Astyanax mexicanus: one gene and its partner. The protein of the gene in region 1 interacts with the protein of each later gene in a biochemical or structural test. Links are inferred from orthologs where the notes say so. Each region holds a gene or a part of one and is shown in the gene's direction. Other genes may lie near its edges.

Region 1 (9,283 bases):
AATCGTTCATCCTCCACACTGATGCTTCCAATCAGGGCCTGGGTGCCGTATTGTACCAGGAACAGGAAAGGAAACTCCGTATGATCGCGTATGCTTCGCGGACACTCACAGAACCAGAGAAAACTACCATCTTCATTCAGGGAAGCTAGAATTCCTGGCTCAAATGCTCGCCCTACTGGTCACCAGTTGGGAAAGCTGGGTATAAAAAGCAAATGGCTGCTCCGTGAATGGGATCGATTGATCTTTGATGAAAATGGCCTTTTATACCGAAAGACAGCCACAAGAAAACAGTTGATCTTACCAGAGAAATACAAAGAGATGGTCCTGAGAGAATTGCATGATGAAATGGGTCATCAGGGAGTGGACCGGACAGTGTCATTAATCAGAGATAGGTTCTTCTGGCCTAACCTGCAGAAGGATGTTGAGCACTATGTTTCCTATTCTTGTGTGTGTTTGAAGCAGAAGAAACCAAGTCGAGAAACTAGAGCTCCTCTCACAAACATTGTTACGTCACAGCCTTTTGAACTGGTCTCAATAGATTTTCTTCATGTAGACAGAAGCTCAGGTGGATACGAGTATATCCTGGTAGTAATTGACCATTTCACACGTTTTGTTCAGGCATATGCTACGACATCAAAATCTGCTAAAACTGTAGCTGACAAGATATTCGGTGACTATGCATTGAAGTTCGGATTTCCCATGAGGATACATCATGGCCAGGGAGGTGAATTCGAAAACCAACTTTTCGCACAGTTGAAGAAAAACTGTGGTGTTATTGGCTCTAGAAGTACACCGTACCACCCCCAAGGGAATGGTCAGGTGGAGCATTTTAATAGAACTCTCCTCCAGATGTTGAAAACACTGACTGAGAGAGAAAAATCCAATTGGAAGGATTCGCTAAACAAGCTCATTTATGCTTACAACTGCACTCGCAGCAAAGTCACTGGGTTTTCTCCCTTTTATCTTCTTTATGGACGGCCTCCGAGACTGCCAGTTGATCTTTTGTTCCGCCTAACTCCAGAGAGTGGAACAGGTGATCATCAGGAATATGTAAAGCAATGGAAATCTGGAATGCAGGAGGCATATGAGATTTCAAGAGAGAACGCCAAGAAGTCTGCCGAAAGAGGAAACCGGAATTACAATAAGAAAGTCAGGAGTTCTGTGTTGCAAGAAGGCGATCGTGTTCTTGTGAGAAACATGACACCCCGAGGTGGGACAGGCAAACTTCGAAATCATTGGGAGGAACAAATTCACAAAGTTGTATGGCAAGTAAATAAAGATATTCCCATCTATGAAGTTGTTCCGGAGCTAGGAAGAGGAAGCAGAATCCTACACCGGATTACTTACCACTAGAGGTCCAACTCAAGACGGCAAACTCAAAAAAACAAAGAAGAGAACGAAAAAAAACCCAGAAAGAGAAGAGAACATTCAAGCAGGGACTGACAGTGATGAGGATGACTATGAATACCACTGCATAACTGTGCCACAGCCTCAATACAGTTGCAACACTGGACGTGATATTCAGACAAAAGCTCAAGAGCCAGCTGTACAAACTGAGAATCAAGTTCTTGGATTGGAAAATGTGCCCCAGCAAAGTGAGGCCCACGATAGGAACTGTGCTCTGGATCAGGACATTCAGCCAGAGATGTCTGCTCAAGGGAGACAAACAGTTGAACAGGATAATTTCTTTGAGAGAAGCGAATCACTCCCTCCGTGTACTGCTGCTGACAGCATTGATGATGAAACGAAGGCAAAGTACAAGTATCAACGACCCAACAGAGAGAAGCGAGCACCAAAGTTATTCACCTATGACCAGCTTGGTACCCCAGTATGCTATCTAGCTTCTCTTTCAGAAAGTGACACTCACAGGCATTTTCCTTGGCCTTGGGATGTGGAACATACAAGACAAACATGGATGGACCCTACACAATTTTACTTTCCCCCTGGGCATTACTGTTCAATGCATTTGCATAGGAACTGAGTAAAAGACATCCTGGGAATGTTGATGGACTGTTCACCTCTGTTCTTTCACGCATACAAATATGTTCACAACATTCATAGACTGTGAACAGAGTTGTTTACATATACCTACTAGGGATGGACAACACCTGAAAGAACTTTCACACTTATACATTTGAAACATACCATGAACTGTGATAAAACAGATTGGTCATGTACACATACGATGGACACAAACTAAAAAGAAACTGAACTGACACATACACCCCTGCTCACAACACTTATGGACTGTGGATAAGCAGAGTACCTGATGAATATGGACATGAACTAAAAGGACTTCCACACACACACACACACACCTATGCTCACAACACTCATGGACTGTGGATAGACAGAGCAGTTGAGTACACTTACCCAATGGACATGAACATAAGATAAACAGACTTTCCCTCTCACATGCGCACATATGCTTGCAACACGCATGGACTGTGAAAAAGCAGAGCACACAAATTTGCAGAATGGAAAAAAAAAGGAAAAAGAAGACACTGTTCATGTTAGTGGACACTGATAAATAGAAATACATTTCCTTTCTGCAGTAGAGACTTACCTAAAAGAACAGAAAGGAGTTTGACTGTTGGCTATATACAAAAAAATGGTTGAAAAAAAATGTAATGTGCAAACACATTCTTTGTGATGTCGGGACGACATCTATATTGGTGGGGAGTGTGTGATATACTGAAAAAAGGGAGATAAAAAATATCTATATAAATATATATATGTAAAAAAGAAAAGAAAATATATAGAGAAAAAGGAAAATAGTTCTGTGTTGTTTTGATATTATTACTAGTCACTGTATTTCAAGTTATTGGGTTATTACTGTGTACACCAGTTGGTTGAGCCTGTGCTAGGGGCGTGTCTAGTTTGGACTGAGTGAGGGGAACAGAGAGCACATGCTGAGATTGCATCATACTAAAGTTATGCTGCTTTGAACACTCATCAGTGTGTCCTGTGTTCATTAAATTTGGTATTTTCCACTATCCCCTCTCTCAGGGGCGTAACAAACACTCCCGTCCTATACAAAAAAAAGCACACAACTTATATTTAACATAAATTTTAAATCCAACATAAATAAGAGTACACACATATAAGAATTAGGCCTTTATGTGCCAAATATCTACAACTGCTGTTTGTGAACTTTCACTTCAGCAAAGGCAACCACAATTTCTTACAGATTAATATAGCAGATTTAAGAATTCTGTTGTCTGAGAATTAGAGAAACGCACGCATGCTTTGGCTTTGTGCATGGATGCAACTAGACACGTACCCCTCTTTTAGGGTGTTTTCACACCAGATCAGTTAATGAGTTTGTTTACTGATCTGAACTAAACCATCCTTTACCCTTTATAAACCTAACAGAAGGAGTTTAAATATCATCAGATAATGAGGGTCATGGAAGTAAATAAATGTAGCAATATATTTATCAATAAATATATAAATAAATGCAGAAACAGCCCTAAATAAAGGTTTATGCATGGAAATATTTTAAGTGTGTACTTTTAATGTATTTATCTATACAATTATGTATTTATATATTTATTTATTCATTTATACTTCCATTTATTTATTTATGCTTATGTCACTTTTCTGCCTCCATATTTTGGGACTTTTTCAGTCCCATCATGTTTTTTATGCATATGCATGCCTGGCTGGATAAAAAATGCAGAAACGAGTATTTTTCTGCCTGCGGAGGATGTTTTTAACATTGTTAAATGCTGAACTGGCGCAGGCTACACTGGGTGGGCAATCGGGGAATGAAAATGTCATTATACTACAGAGACCTGGCCTTCCTGCTCAGAAGAGTGTCCACACAGTCCTGATAATAGTGAAGTTTGGCCACAATAGCACAAGGCTTGCCCCCCCTGCTGCCTCGGTTGCAGACGGTGGTAAAACTCGATCCAGACATCTCCTCCACATTCAGAGTTAGAATATTCGTGCTCCTCATTCGTCCCTTCAGGTCGACTCGTTTCTCCCGCAGAGCAGCTACATGTTTGCTAAGCCTGTGCACGGTTGTTTGCAGAGTAGTGATATCATCTGAGCATGTGGAGCGGCCATGCTCCATTTCAGTTTTTGTTTCACACTATCCATGTCCGTACGTAGCACAGCCACACTGCTACCCTTAAAAAAAGTTTCAGTGACATACTAAACATAATTATACATCAGCAATAATACATGAGATGGAGTGCTATAATGTGTAATATTGGCACTACTGTGCTGCAGTCGTAGGCATGCGGCCGTAGGCCAAAAGCTCGATTTTTGTCCCATCTGACCACAGAACCTTCTCCCAATCACTCTCAGAATCCTCCAGGTATTTATTGGCTAACTAAAGACGGTTCTGCACATGTTCCTTCTTCGACAGGAGGACCTTGCAGCACTGCAGAACTTTAATCCATTACAGCATAATGTCTTACCAAAAGGTTTTCTTGGTGACTGGGGTCCCAGCTGCCTTGAGATCATTAAGAACTTCCCCTTGTGTAGTTTTAGGCTGATCTTTCACCTTCCTCATGATCAAGTATACTCCACGAGGTGAGAGTTTGCATGGAACCCCAGATTGATGTTGATTGATAGTCATTTTGTATTTCTTTCATTTTCTTACAACTAATTCACACTTTTAATGTGACAACGTGCTTAGCGGTACGCCATCCGCGCACAGGAAGAAGGAGTAGGCGGCGGAGGTTTTAGTTGAGAAGAGAGTGTTTTAAAGCAGCGAGGGAAAAGAGCGACAACTTACGAGGCAAAAACGACTATAATAATGGAGCATTTAGGCTGAACAGCGTGTATTCGCTCTTGTCTCCCACAACAACACACTTTAATGCTGCACCGACTCAGCCTGAGGAGTTTATAAATAAATACATGATACCGGCTCTGTGAGACGGACTGGCGACATCTCTGCTGTTCAGAAGCTAAGACACACAACATAATGCAAACGTTTATGCCTTTTTATTGATTATTCCCTATAGTTTTGATACTTACAAGAAATCCTTGTTGAAAAAAATTTAACTTAATTGTTTTAAAGTACTAATTATAAAAATAATTATTATTTCTTTATTTATTTCTATTTGTGTTTGCTGTTTGAAATGTATGCTGTGAAGTTAAAAATATAACTTTAAAAAAGGAAATCAATTGGTCATTTATTATTAAGTAAAATGTCTTGTTTTCTTGAGTATTTTTAATTACTCTTTAAGCAAACAAATATGTCTTATCCAATTTCTCAATAAATCAAATTGATTTTTCAGTACAGTACTTGATTACTAAAATAATCAATAGCTGCAGCCCTAGACTGAATTATTATTTCTCTCTGCAAAATGCAAATCAATTGATATAATTTATACAATTTGATATTTTTTTGGATTTTATTTTTGATATTCTATTTCTCACGGTTAAAATTAACCTTCCCTTAAAATTATAGACTGTTCATGTCTTTTACAGTTTGGAAACTTCAAATCAGCAAGAGATTCAATAATTATTTACTTCACTGTATAGTGTAACCTTCTGTTCAATTTAGCATCTTCTATTTCAGGAGGTTCATTATGTCCAGCGTTTGAACGGTGACTAAAACAGGCTGTTATCTACAGGGCGCCTGTGGTCAGTGACATAATGCAGAAGCTCTTCCTCATCCTAGTCGAACACAGGCAGCACAAGTGAACTGCTGTGAGGTCTTGGGTTTCCTGTGTGTACTGCTGTTGTTCCTTTTTTAACTGAAAATTTGACTTACTCACTGCATTTCGCTGGAGTTTGCGCTGGAGTAAACAGAGCTACAGAGGCTGAGATGACACCGTTACAGTTTAAAGATGCGTTCTGGGTAAGTAATCATGTGTTAAGATGTTTTAGAAGTTTGATGTTTCAGCTGAAGTCCATGTGTGGCAGGTGTATATCTGGATATGAATGTTCCTTTTTGAACTGTAACGTTCATCTTGTGTTTCTTGTACAGTTTTAAAGAAGGATGTTCCACGTTCTAGGCTGTAGAGTGTTGTCATAAACTGGCAGAATGGTAGTCTGAGAGTTGTCAAGTCAAGTCAAGTCAAGAGGCTTTTATTGTCATTACGTCTGAGTACAGGTACACAGTGTGATGAAATTACGTTCCTCCGGAACCATGGTGCAACATAGAACCACAAGCAATAGACAACATAAAGTGCAGGAGTGACGACAGTGCAACATAAAATTATAAAATTATAACACTAAATAACAATAAATACAATAAATACAAAAGACGAGACAATTTAAAGACAGGACAGTGCAGTACCTTCTACGTTGTGTGTAGAAGTATGGTAGAAGTATATACTCCCCTCTTTTATGTATGTATGTATGTATCTATATAATATATTCTACACAATCCACTCTTACTGTCCATTCTAAATAAAACACTAAAGCAGATATCTCGTAGTTTAATGGTCAGAGAATAGCGTTCCCTGCCAGGAGGTAATGGGTGTTTCTGTAGTTTTTAGAGCGTGGGGGGGATCGGTAATCAGGTCGGCATTGTCAGGGTAAACCACTTCCACTCTTTTTGCGGATTCTCTTCAAGAATTGTTCTCCCCTGGAACTGCATGACACATGTGGCTTTGATCTTCAGCGATATATGTATACATATATATAAAACAACAAATCTTCAAAGCAGCACGGAACGTTTCTGGGTTCATTTGCATCCTAGCTCTCGCCTCATAAACCTGTTTTACCTGATGCACTTCCAGAGGTCGAGCTGTTCCCATGATTAAAAAAGTACATTCTGGATCTGCTTCTGCTAAAGTTTTAGATTTATAGGACAGAAGTGTGGCTGTAAAGAGTCTAAACGAGATCATCCCGCATGTGTGGAACAGCTAGAATCTAGACGTGGCATTCTATTTGTGAGCTGAGCCACCAACGGTTTAATTCCAGAATTCAGGATGAGTAACATGACATGACGCACTGGTAGTAGTATGGAAAGATGATCTTGTGATGTGAATTAGCCTGAAATACACCACGTTGTTGCTGTGTTGGTTTAAACAAGCCTTTCCTGATTATAATTTCCTCTAAATGTGAACTTATTAATTAAAAATAATTTATGGTTATATGAGCTGAGAAAAACACTTTATCTGGATGGTGAAGAGATAACACTTCCTCCACTGGCACTTAGGGCCCAGACTTTGTTAGCAACGCCGGGTACGAGGCCCTCACCCAGAGGCTCTACGATGGCCGGCGGGCCTGCAAAGACATGGAGGAGCTCTTGAAGATGAGGTGATCTTTTAAATTGATTTACTTTCCATTTGAATAAGATTTGAAGCTCATTTAGACGTGATGATGTGATGAGAAGGGGCTTCTGCTCTTTGCAGGGCGATGGCAGAAGAGAAGTATGGCAAAGAGCTAGTGGCTATTGCACGAAAGGCTGGAGGCCAAAGTGAAATAGGGTAAGTGGTTAACTTTTAACTCCTCCGCACAGAGTGCTCCACTCCTGACAAGGTACTAATCCACACTACTGAGAATCAGGCTTAGGACATAAGCAGAAAGAATGTGGATGTGAGACACATCCATATTAGTAACACGTTCCTCATTTCTTCTTGCAGCACTTTAAAGGCTTCGTTTGACCAACTCAAAGCACGTAAGTGGCAGGGCGGCACGTCCCGCTGGTTTTATCAGTTATAATTTATGCACTTAAACTGGACCACAGACACTGATGTTTAATTTACAAACAGAAATCGAGAACATCGGAAACTTGCACATCCACCTCTCGGGGATGTTAAAAGAAGAAGTCAAGCGCATGGAGCAGTTCAGAGAACGTCAGAAAGAGCAGCGGAAAAAGGTGCGTCCGTGCAGAAAGACACAGTGGGTTTTATCCTGACCTTCATCCTCTATCTGTCTCACCAGCCCACACTGAGGCCTGGCAGGGCTCTGATTATGAACCTTTCTCTATTGCAGTTTGAGGGAATCATGGAGAAGGTTCATAAGACCAAAGTCTCTCAGTACAAGAAGACGATAGAGGTGAGTCTCAGACTTTCAGATAAATCACAAAAGCACGACCCGAGGGGCAGGGGCAGATACTACCCGCCTCACTTTTCACACTCAGAAAGATGTGCTGCTGAACCAGAAGATCAGTCAGGAAATTACACGTCTATAAGTGGCACTGAGAGAGTGAGAGAGCGAAAGAGCGAGAGAGCAGGAAGAGGAAGAAGCATTCAAAGTCAATTTAAATCGGTGTGCATTTCCGTGCCTGTGTGTGTGTGTGTGTGTGTGTGTGTGTGTGGTTTTTGTGTGTGTGGTGGGGTCAGTGCTCAAAAGTCCCACATCTATTCCTCATTAATATTTTTAAAACCCCACACACACACACACACACACATAAACCAACGCAAGTTTCCCTATTCCTCTCATAGATTGGTAATTTCCTCAAAATGCGGTGTGTTCTCACACACACTCTTGTACTAGTGTGTTCTGAAGATCAGGACAGTTTTAAGATCACAGAGTAACTGTTTAAAGTGAATCATCTTAAATCTAATCTAAACATATATTTCTGATTGAAATTATTTACTACTGAATTATTAATCGTGTCCCTTATTTAAGTTACTTAAGGTAAGAGACTCTGTGCTATTGCATTGACAAATAGTTAATAAACATATTTTAAAATGTTTTATCAGATTTTCTCCCCAGTTTATAAGGCCTATTACGCAACCCACACAATAGGTGACATGTGAAGTCAGACTCCACCTATTTTTGAACTGCTACTGATGCAGCATTGCTGAGTAGCATCATAGCACTAACGCTCGACACGGAAAGCACAGCGACTCGGTTCTGATACATCAGCTCACAGATGCAGTCTTGTGCTGATCCACATCACCCTTTGGAGTTGTATGGGAGGAGACAACAGGCCTATGCCTTTTCCCCCTAATGCGTATTCCGTCTTTCCAGTATTTTATATGAGACTTAGGTGAGATACTAAAATAGACTAATCTAACTCCAATTTATGAACACCAACTAGGTGGAAATAAACAGTTAGCCATTATCAGTAGCACATATTCTAAGATTAGGTTCTGTCTAACAAAACCAGGTTTGGGTAAATAGTTCAGTGATAGGAGATATGGGCATTAAAGCTACACAACGATACGGCGTAACATGTGAGAACAGCCTGATACCGGGGTGTTCAGCGGTCCAGAACTTAGTCTACACTAGCGGTTACAGAACATAACACTCAATCTTATCTGTTTCCCTCAGAGGGTAAAATATGGCATAGCCTAAAAATGACTGCATAACATGTGAAAACAGCCCGGCACCTCGGTTGAGATGTTCAGCGGTCCAGAACTTA
Region 2 (9,720 bases), on another chromosome or scaffold:
CTCCAAAAGGGCAGGGATAACTCATCCAGGAGGTCCAGGAGGGTAAAGAACTGCAGGTCTCACCTGCCTCAGTTAAGGTGAATGATTTTTGATTACAGACTGTAGTCCTGTATCTGTTTCTCTACATTCTTTATTATTATCCTTCTTTCTAATGTGCTGGTACAAGTGGATCAGCCACAGCAGTGCTGCTGGAGTTTTTAAACATCTCAGCGTCACTTATAGACCGAAACTCACATATATCTCACTTGTTCACCTGGTGAATTGCGGCAGCTGGCCATAGTGATCTGGAACGTCAAAGGGCATGTACAGGAAGTGTCTCAGCTCAGCCACGCCAACATGGCGAACCTGACATGGTTGAGCTTTGGAGATAGACTGCAGAACATTGTTGTTTCTAACCCCCTCTTCGATCTTCCGCTTGCACTCCGCCACGGCGTAGAAAGCCTCCTTATCGGTGGACAGAAGCACGAGGCAGACGCTACACTCTGGAGGGTCCAGGTAGGCGACGTAAGTGTAGAAGTAGCAGTCTGGATTAAAACGAGGAAGGCAGACCGGGGTCCAAATTTCACCCGTCTGGAAGGACGTGGAAGCTCGAATGAGGTTCAGAAGCAGGTGCAGATCACTCGGCTTCAGCCTGGCGTCTTCTATGACCATTTTCTCCTGGACAATGGAGAGGAGCTGACCCTTAGTGACCAGGAGAGACAGGACAAGATTAGGAGTGACTGCTTTCTGCAGGACCTGGTTGAGAACGTCTCTGGAAGACGAAGCCAAAGGCAGGCACTGCACAGCCGAGAGCAGGAAACCAGCCTCAGACTCCATTACATCCAGGAGACCATCTATAACCTTCTCCGAGCCGAACAGCAGCCGGCGGAGGTCGTAGTTCTTCCTGCGCTGGAAAATGCGATTGATGCTGGCCTGGGTGAGCATGCTGACGATCTGATGGTAAACATGCAGGAGCTCAGAGCGAAGCTGCAGCTCAGACTGTCGACTCTTTGATGCGGAAACCAGAACCAGAGGTCCTTTCTGCATAAAGACAATCGTGTGCCCATCTGAAAGAGAGTGATACAAAATCTAGTAACACTTTATTCAGGTGCCTGAATAGAGGCTTTATAATCAATTTATGAGCATTAAATAATGTATTTAGAAATAATAATTTGAATATTTAAATATATTTTATATTTATGAACAGTTTTTACCATCACAATATGACATTGTTGTCAGTACAAGACGAGTTTTTTATTGTTTTTCTTTTCCTTGGCTGGTAACTCTTGAACTTATAAATGAACTTATTCTGTGCAACAGAGGTAACTTTTGGTCTTCCTTTCTTGGAGCGGTCCTGATGAGAGCCAGTTTCATCACAAAGTATTTGATGACTGTCTTTAGGACTGCACTTGAGGAAAATTTAGGATCATTTTTTTCTGAATTTTGCCTGATAACATTCATAGTTAAGTCCCATATTTTTCAGACTATAACACGCACCTTAAAGTCCTTTAAGTCTTTACATTTTCTCCAAAATCATCAATGTGCCTTATTTATAAATTCTACCAGTCAGGTTTTAATTAAGGCGCAGTAAAGCCACTCTACTGAAGTACAGCGTTACTTGGGTAAATTTTCAGTGAAGTTTCTCCAGCACTAAGGCTGAGAGCACCCTGCATTAGCATTAGCCGCTAACCGCAGCAGTGCTAGATCTTTCACCGTCCAGAGGTGAGTATATTGGACTGTAGTCTGCATGTTTACCATGTTAAAACAAGCTACGTGGGACAAACCACTAGTTGATAGCACCCTGGGTTACCTGAACACTTAGGGTTCCTCAGCTTAGCACGGTCGGGTGGCATTCATGTCCCGCTAGCACTGTGGTTAGCGGCTAATGCTAATGCTAATGCTGCTGCACCCAGCCTTAGTGCTGGGGAAACTATTGGAAATCTAAGCTTACAGTAAAGAACAAGATTCTAACAAACTCTTTTTAATACCTATGAATTTAGAAGAAACAGTGAATAAGTAGGTGTCCAATATTTGTTCATATAAATCTGGAGATATTGTAGGATAGGGAAATGAAGCAATTTGACAGAGACCTTCCTGGGAAAATGTAGCTGTGTGTGGGTGAACATTATCCTACTGATATCCTATTCTCGTGTATCACTACTAGGTGTTGACACGTTGTATACAATGTCACTCCAGATAAGGCGGGTTTAAATCACTCACCACAAGGCCAGATGTGGTGTTCAATTGTGTGCCTTTAGTTAAACATTAGGGTGACTTGAGTAATCATCTTAATGAGATTTGTTTATGTGGTTTCTACACAAGGCTTGCATCACTCTATATCTACATTAGCCTCATAGCTCATAGGGTAATAGGAACATATTGTGTAAATGTGCCACATTATTGCTTTGAATGACCACCAGTGGTCTACAGTTCATAATACCAGCTTCTTCTTTTATTCAATATTGTATTCTCCAGTGTCTTTTGGTTTTGCATTGGTGGAAAAGCATTGTATGTGCCTTAGCTACGATGCTACATTAGCGGAGTGGCTGGCGGGTTTTGTTATTCTAAACATACACACCTACCTATTTCAATTGTACTTGGCTGGTGGTGTTTTTTCCTCCATAGACAAATTCTAACCATTTGTTCCTTAGCTCTGCATTACTGGGTAAAGCATATAAACACTGATGTGTTATTCGCACAAATAACCCAGCAACAAACTGCCGAACTGCTGTTCTTAGCGCTGTTAGCTCCTATCTGACGAGGCAGTGCCTCTGCCTGGCTTCAGCTCTGTCTGTGGGCGGTCCCGAGCCAAGGTGGGTGTGGCCATGAATACTAATTAACATATTTTCAGAGTATTTTCTTTTCATGTGCAGCATCATATACAACTCAGAGAGACCTAATGTATTTCACAAAGAACCAGAAAAAGTGGATTTTAGAGTGGATTTTAGCTGAAGGACACCTTAAAAAAGGTGCAAAATATCGTAATATATTAAATTGTATCGCCAATAATACACAGTACTAGTACATACATTTTTTTTTGTATTTTCCATGCATCCTCAAACTTTTTTATGATTTGTGGTATATATAAAACATAAAAAGTTAATAACCCCTTTAATAACATCTCACCTGAGTAAATGGACTGAATGGTGTTTCCTCCAACCTGGACAAAAGACACCAGCGCCATCATGACCCCCATCACTGAAGACAGGGCCTCCTCGCTGCCATGGCGAGAGTAGATGGGCTTCCCTGCTTCGCTCAGCACAAACACATGCTTCCTGCGGCTCCTCCAGCCGTCCGTCATCACCTCCTCATTCTGACTGGTCTGGATTTGGGAAGCTGAGGAGCAGTCGCTCCCGAGACTTGAGGAACTCTCGCTCTGCTTCAGTTCCGTTCCAGATAAAAGCACTGTAAAATCACTAGATTCCTCCAGAGAGGTGTTTTCAGGTAGACCCCCATCAGTTCCCGCACTGTCTCTCTTCAACATGCTGTCCGATTCTCACTTCCCTCCAAACTTCTGCTTTTTTCTACTGTGGAAATGATGTCCCTCTTCCTAAGGAACACTTCTTCCATTGGTGACGGACAATGGATCCCTGTGAGGAGCGCTACAGGTTAATCAGGGATTCCAGGAGGGGTCAGATGTGTTTTATAGACCGTGAATAACGTCCACAGTGCTCAGAGTGCTGCTGGAGATAATAAGATCTATAGTGGTATGTCATCATCAAGGTTTCATCAAAGGCTCTTTTGAAGTTTAGAAACTAGCCCTTTTTATCTGGGTTATCTTAATACAGTATATTATAATCAAGTTTCTCCCATGATGTTATTATTATACTTTTATTATGTTTATATATATTTTACTGTCAGAAACTTTAGTGTTAAATCAGGACAAATATACACTATATTTAGATATGATGTTATACAATATTGTTCTTTTTTATGACACCGAATAAACTGACGCTGGAAAAAACACCATAGACACCTAAGCAACCACCCTAAAAACTGCTATTTAAGACCCTAGCGGCAACAGAACACCCATTCAACAATGCATTACTGACATACTACAGTAGCCCCTTATCAACCACCTGGAACACTGTTGCAACCACCCTGAAAACCACTAACTAAAACCTAGCGGCACCAGAACACCCATTCAGCAATGCATTAGGAACCACCTGACATAATAACACAGCATATTAGCAACCACCTGATCCCCCATTCTGCAACACCTTATCAACCACCTGACATATTGTTAAAACATATTAGTTACCACCTTAGCAGCCATTCTGCAACACTGCAACCTCAGTAACCACCTGAAATACTATAGCAACCGACAAAGCAACCACTGAGAATTAGTTTAGCTACAAAAGAGCATGCATACAGCAACACCCTAGCAACCACCTGGGACAGCAATAACAGTAAAAATGTTTCCAATAGACACATTAACAGTTATAATGCTTAGGTATAATATTTAATTTGTAGTAACTTTACTTTTAAAGTTATTACAGGTTATTAAATAATCATAATAGCTCAGAAAGCAAGAAAGATAATCTAAAAAAAATTGTACTCATGCTGATGATGATGATATGGTGCAGGCAGTCAGGAGACTCGTCCACAGTGTGTTTATTGTGAGTAGAAAGAATGTGCTCAGAACAGCAGTGAATGAAGAACTTCTTGACTGTTCACAATAAAAGTCCCTCCCTAATATTCCCAGCTCAATACTGGGGGGCTTTATACCCCACCTAAACCCCAATAGCTGAGAGCCTAAAGAATGGTCCGGTTTAATACATGCATAATAAAAACTGATATAAGACATAGATAAGATGATAAATAACATTTATCATTGCTATACATATTATTTTCTAAATCCTTGAATGCAAAATACGAAATATTGGATGTAAAATCCCATTATATATATCTTTCCAATTTAAAATGATGAAGAACTAGTTTTGGTATCATTTTTTAAATTTATTTACTTTTGCAAACAGAATCTCAGGGAAAAATTAAACTTTTCTTGATTTTCAATTTTTTGCATTTTGTTAAAAAAAAAAAAATTAGACTATACCATCAGGCATATGTTACATTAAAAATAAAAAGGTTTTTGGGAAAAATAAATGTTTTGTTCATTTTTGCTGAACCTGGCAACCTGGGCATGCTGAATCCCATAAAAATCTCTAAAAAAAAAAAAAAAAAAAAAAACTCTGCTTAAATTAATCCTCTCTTAATTTTCATATTTCTTCATTATTGCATCTTGTTAAAAAAGCAAATTGGATTTTACAATCATAGCAAATCAATATGCAAAATACAATATGCAAAAATGAAAAAAATCTGAAAATTAATATATATTAATGAAATAAAATTTTCCTGAAATTCTGTTTACAAAAGGCAACATTTTTTTAAATGATAAAATAAACTATTCGTTCTGAACATAAGAAAGTTGAGTGGTGTATGGTAATATATATATATATATATATATATATATATATATATATATATATTGTCTTTTCATTCTTCTTAAAAAGTAAATTGGATTATGCCATCGTAACAAATCAATATGCAAAAAAATTTCATTTTATATATTAAAAAAATAAAAAAATAACCATGAAAGATGGATAAAAAAATTTAATCACTATTTTAATTGATAAAAAAAACTATTTGTTCTAAAAATCAGAAAATCGAAAGATTTATGGTAAAATGTTTTGTTTCGTGCTGTCTTCTCATTCTGGAGAGCATTTACGCAAAATGTATATTTTTGATGGACCTGGCAACCTTGACTCGCGCTGATTCGCGCAGCTGTAGTGCACTAGTTAGTGCAGAAGTGCGCGTGTTGGAGCGCAGACCGGGTTTAATGAGAGCGTGAGAGAGGGATCAGTTCTGCTCGCGGTGGATCAGGTGCTTCGGTCTGAGCTGGAGATCATGACCCGGACCCGGGTCCGCTCAGCACGGCTCTGGACTCGGGTTTAACCCGATGAAGAGGATTTAAAGCGGAATATCGACCTGCGGAGCGATGGAAGATCACCTGCTGAAGTTCATCCAGCGGGTCAGGTTCCTGTCTGAGAGCGGCTGCGATGGGGACAATGAGATCACTGCTGAGTACACCGTGAGTACCACCTGAGTACACCCGCTAAACCTGCAGCTGGAAACTGGGATTAAATTCATATAATAAACTAGCTACTAATATAGAGATTATACTGAGAAGTTATTGAGAGATTTCACTAAACATACATTTATTATGTTTCATTCCCAGATAGCAAATATATATTGATCAGTTTGAGGCTACATTTAATTAAAATTAAAATTAAAAGTTGAGTGCAAAAGTTCAATACTTATTTTTAGGTATTTAAATATTTAAATTGTTGAGGAAAAAGTTGTACATCCATATATTTAGCAATTTTTAGTGTTTTCTTCTGCCTTTCTCAAACAGGATTTTATATAAAAATGTCAGATTTAATTTCATTTTTGCATATTGTAAAAAAAATGATAGTGAAATCCAATATACTTTTGTAAAAAAGATGAAAAAAATCAATTTTCCTAAAATCCTGTTTTTAAAGTGTATAAAATGTACACAAACATTTTGTTCATCATTATTTTTAAATGAAAAAAAACATATATACACTGGAAACCTACTGAACACATAAGCACTATGCGTTCATTTGAACTGCATAGGATTAAATTAATATTAATATATCTACCTATATAAAGATTATACTTAGTTACGTCATTGAGAAATTTCATTATACACTACTTCATTATGTCTTTTTGTTATATATAGTTGGAAAATGGGCTGTTACACCGTTTTAGTTACTTTTTTTGTAACTGAAGGGGAAAAAAAGCATTTTTAATGTAGCTAATATTGTTATTTGCTGCATTTGCATCATGTATTCATTTAGGCTATTTAAATAGTTTTAATAAATTTTTATTACTCTTAAATTGTGCAGTTGCATGATTATGCTCTTATAGTATTATTGTAAAGTGGACATGAAACATTTCAGTTTGTACAAGTTTTCTAAGGGATTGAATAAAATGGAATTTATTTTATTGAATGTAATTTTTTTTTTATAAAATGTTTACACACTAAATTAAATCATACTATATTTATGTTTGTTATGTTTGCGCTAGGGCTCCGCCATCTTGCCCGTGCAGCACTGGTGACGTCACGAGGTTGGTTGGTTGGTTGGTTGGTTGAAGAGTCCAGGTACATACAGTAGCTAGCGGTCAGGGTTAGGGAAAAGAGCTTGTTGTTTGTGGAGATTATGAATGAAGACAAAGCTGAACTAGGCTAACGTGGAGCATAGTTAGCGTTAGCTAGTTAGCTAACGTTAGTTACCTCTCGCTGCTCTGCTGGGTGAGCGCGTCGTTTGGCTCGTTTCTTGCGGCTCACAGCTGCTACTTTATAGTAAGGTTACCCTCAGTCAGGTGGTCTGTACATCCCAGCTGTTCAGAGGAAAAAAAATTAAAAATGGAGGTAAAAAGCCTCGGACTTTAGCTTATTTGTCTGGCGAATGACAAACTTCTGACTCAAAACCCTTTCCTCCACATAACAGTCCTCGTCTAGAAAGTGCTCGGAGTCGCTACTAACCCCTAGCATTGCTGCTAACCGGAGGATTCTTGCGCTTCAGGACCGCTAGGCGCCGTTAGCCACCGCCGAAAAACAGCTGTCCGCTTAAGAGACGAGATATGAAAGTGAAAGTGAATCTCTTTCTCACTCTTTAACCTATAACATTTTACTACAACAGAAGTGAGCTAAGTTCCCGAAGGCTAATAGTTTATGTTAGTGAGGCGTCCGAGAACCAACCTCGTGACGTCACTTTCAGCGCTGGGACAAGAGGGCACTACACTTACTTAAAAAATGAGATTTAGATTGCTTTTTATTTTAATTCAGCTTCATTGACAACTGTTAAACTTATACTATTTGTTAGAGTGAAAATACATCTTGTGAATTATATTAAATACTTGAAGTGTTTCATGTCCACATTAAATATAGCATTAAATGCTCATAAATTTACAATAATATAATTTTTGTGCAGTCTGTTGTGCAGTCTATTTCACACTGATTTACAATGATTGATATAACTTGAAACCCCTTGCACTTACACTGTAAGTTGTGTGTGAGGAAGCTGCTGTATGTGCTGTGTACTCAGGTAACACTTTTTGGTTCCCATTCTTGGTCTGGATTCAATTTCATTTTGTTCGGCTTTGTTGACATTGTATTTAAAACCAAAATCATCTATAGAAATAAAACTCAAGGTTCAGTGCTGGGAGATACTGGAGGAAGTAAGATGCTCCATTAGTATTTAAAATGGATGGATGGATGGATGGATGGATGGATGGATGGATGGATAATCGGCCACAATATTCTGTATATTTTAGTGGAAGAAAACACAGGTGCGCCACTGACTGATTAAAACACTGACACGAACACACACATACACGGACACACTGCAGAGCACAAACCGGACCCCTGTTTAACAATAAACAGTATAAAGAATAAAATAACATTGCTGTTCCCTTAAATGAGCTGCTGGCGTATTTTCCCAGGTCAGTATCTGTCTCTGCTGAGACGTGCAAAAACGTCGCACTGTTAAGATTTAACTTTCCCAATATCGTGCAGCCCTACCCTAGCCGAGTCTCAAATGTGCTCCACCAAACAGTTAAGCAGAAGTTGAAGTTAAAGCAGAATGCTTTCTAAGGTTTATAACCTAACTGTACGTCTTTATCTGAACTAAAGTTCAAAAGTAGGAAACTGCGACGTGAAAAAAACTCTTAGTCTAGTGAAAAAAAAAACATTAGCTGTGACTTTTACAGTCTTTTTCAGATCTTCTCCGGTGCGTTGACTGGGGGTAAATGAGGGTACAGCTTCATGTCCTGGTTCCTTATTGAGCCCATAAAAGAATCAGTCGATTATTAACTCAGGGTGATGCTCTGAGACAGACATTACTGTATTAAACTCTGTATGAAGAGAATGAAGGCAGTGCTGCTTAGTGTTGCACTGAGTAAACCATCACCTCAGAACATTTGAATATGTTAACACTGAGTCATGCCAAAAAAAAAGGCCTTCTTTTTTCACGTGAGAGGGACATTTGCATGCACACACAGATCAGAGTGAGAGGGTTATCCATTCATTGGCCTGAATGACTTCCTTTAAAGCTTTCTGACAGCTGTCCAAATATGAAAATAATTTGTCTAAAAATGCAAATGTTGTATTTGTTACCATTACTGTTGTATTTATTTATGTATTTTTCCTATACAGACAAAATTGTCGTCAGTTGTTTGGACTTTCTTGACTTTTTGGACTATATGCCCATCTATCTGTCTGTCTATCTGTCTGTCTATCTGTCTGTCTGTCTGCCTATCTATCTATCTATCTATCTATCTATCTGTCTGTCTGTCTGTCTGTCTGTCTGTCTGTCTGTCTGTCTGTCTGTCTGTCTGTCTGTCTGTCTGCCCTCTTGCAGCATTAACAGCAAGCTGATTGGCTCTGTGCTGAAAGGTGTGAGTAAGGGGTGGGCGATATGGCCCTAAAATAATATCACAATATTTCATAGTATTTTTTTCGTGATAATGATATTCTTGGCGATATGACAGAACAGTAAAAAAGTTAAAGAAAATTTTTCAAAGAAAAAAAAAATTAATTAAATTTTACTATTGTATTATTGCATACAATATGAAATAATATGGCACACCCCTAACTGAGATTAAAAAAAATACAAAACAATAATTTTATCAGATTTGTAACAGAAGTCCATAATA

The links.
Region 2: the proteins of pstpip1a (region 1) and ptpn18 form a complex in vitro, tested with the Homo sapiens proteins (2 studies listed by BioGRID and IntAct). The link is inferred for Astyanax mexicanus from reciprocal best matches to the Homo sapiens genes PSTPIP1 and PTPN18.

The regions. Positions count from the first base shown.
Region 1 is NW_026040047.1:1,865,885-1,875,167, forward strand, and holds the start of pstpip1a (proline-serine-threonine phosphatase-interacting protein 1a), read left to right. Parts: upstream 1-5,320; 5' UTR 5,321-5,785; coding exon 5,786-5,818; intron 5,819-7,126; coding exon 7,127-7,227; intron 7,228-7,322; coding exon 7,323-7,397; intron 7,398-7,553; coding exon 7,554-7,588; intron 7,589-7,682; coding exon 7,683-7,789; intron 7,790-7,905; coding exon 7,906-7,968; intron 7,969-9,283. UniProt on the Homo sapiens protein: Involved in regulation of the actin cytoskeleton. May regulate WAS actin-bundling activity. Bridges the interaction between ABL1 and PTPN18 leading to ABL1 dephosphorylation.
Region 2 is NC_064419.1:3,031,048-3,040,767, forward strand, and holds the start of ptpn18 (tyrosine-protein phosphatase non-receptor type 18), read left to right. Parts: upstream 1-5,795; 5' UTR 5,796-5,977; coding exon 5,978-6,070; intron 6,071-9,720. Other genes in the region: mon1ba (vacuolar fusion protein MON1 homolog B), read right to left, coding at 254-1,046, 3,106-3,463. UniProt on the Homo sapiens protein: Differentially dephosphorylate autophosphorylated tyrosine kinases which are known to be overexpressed in tumor tissues.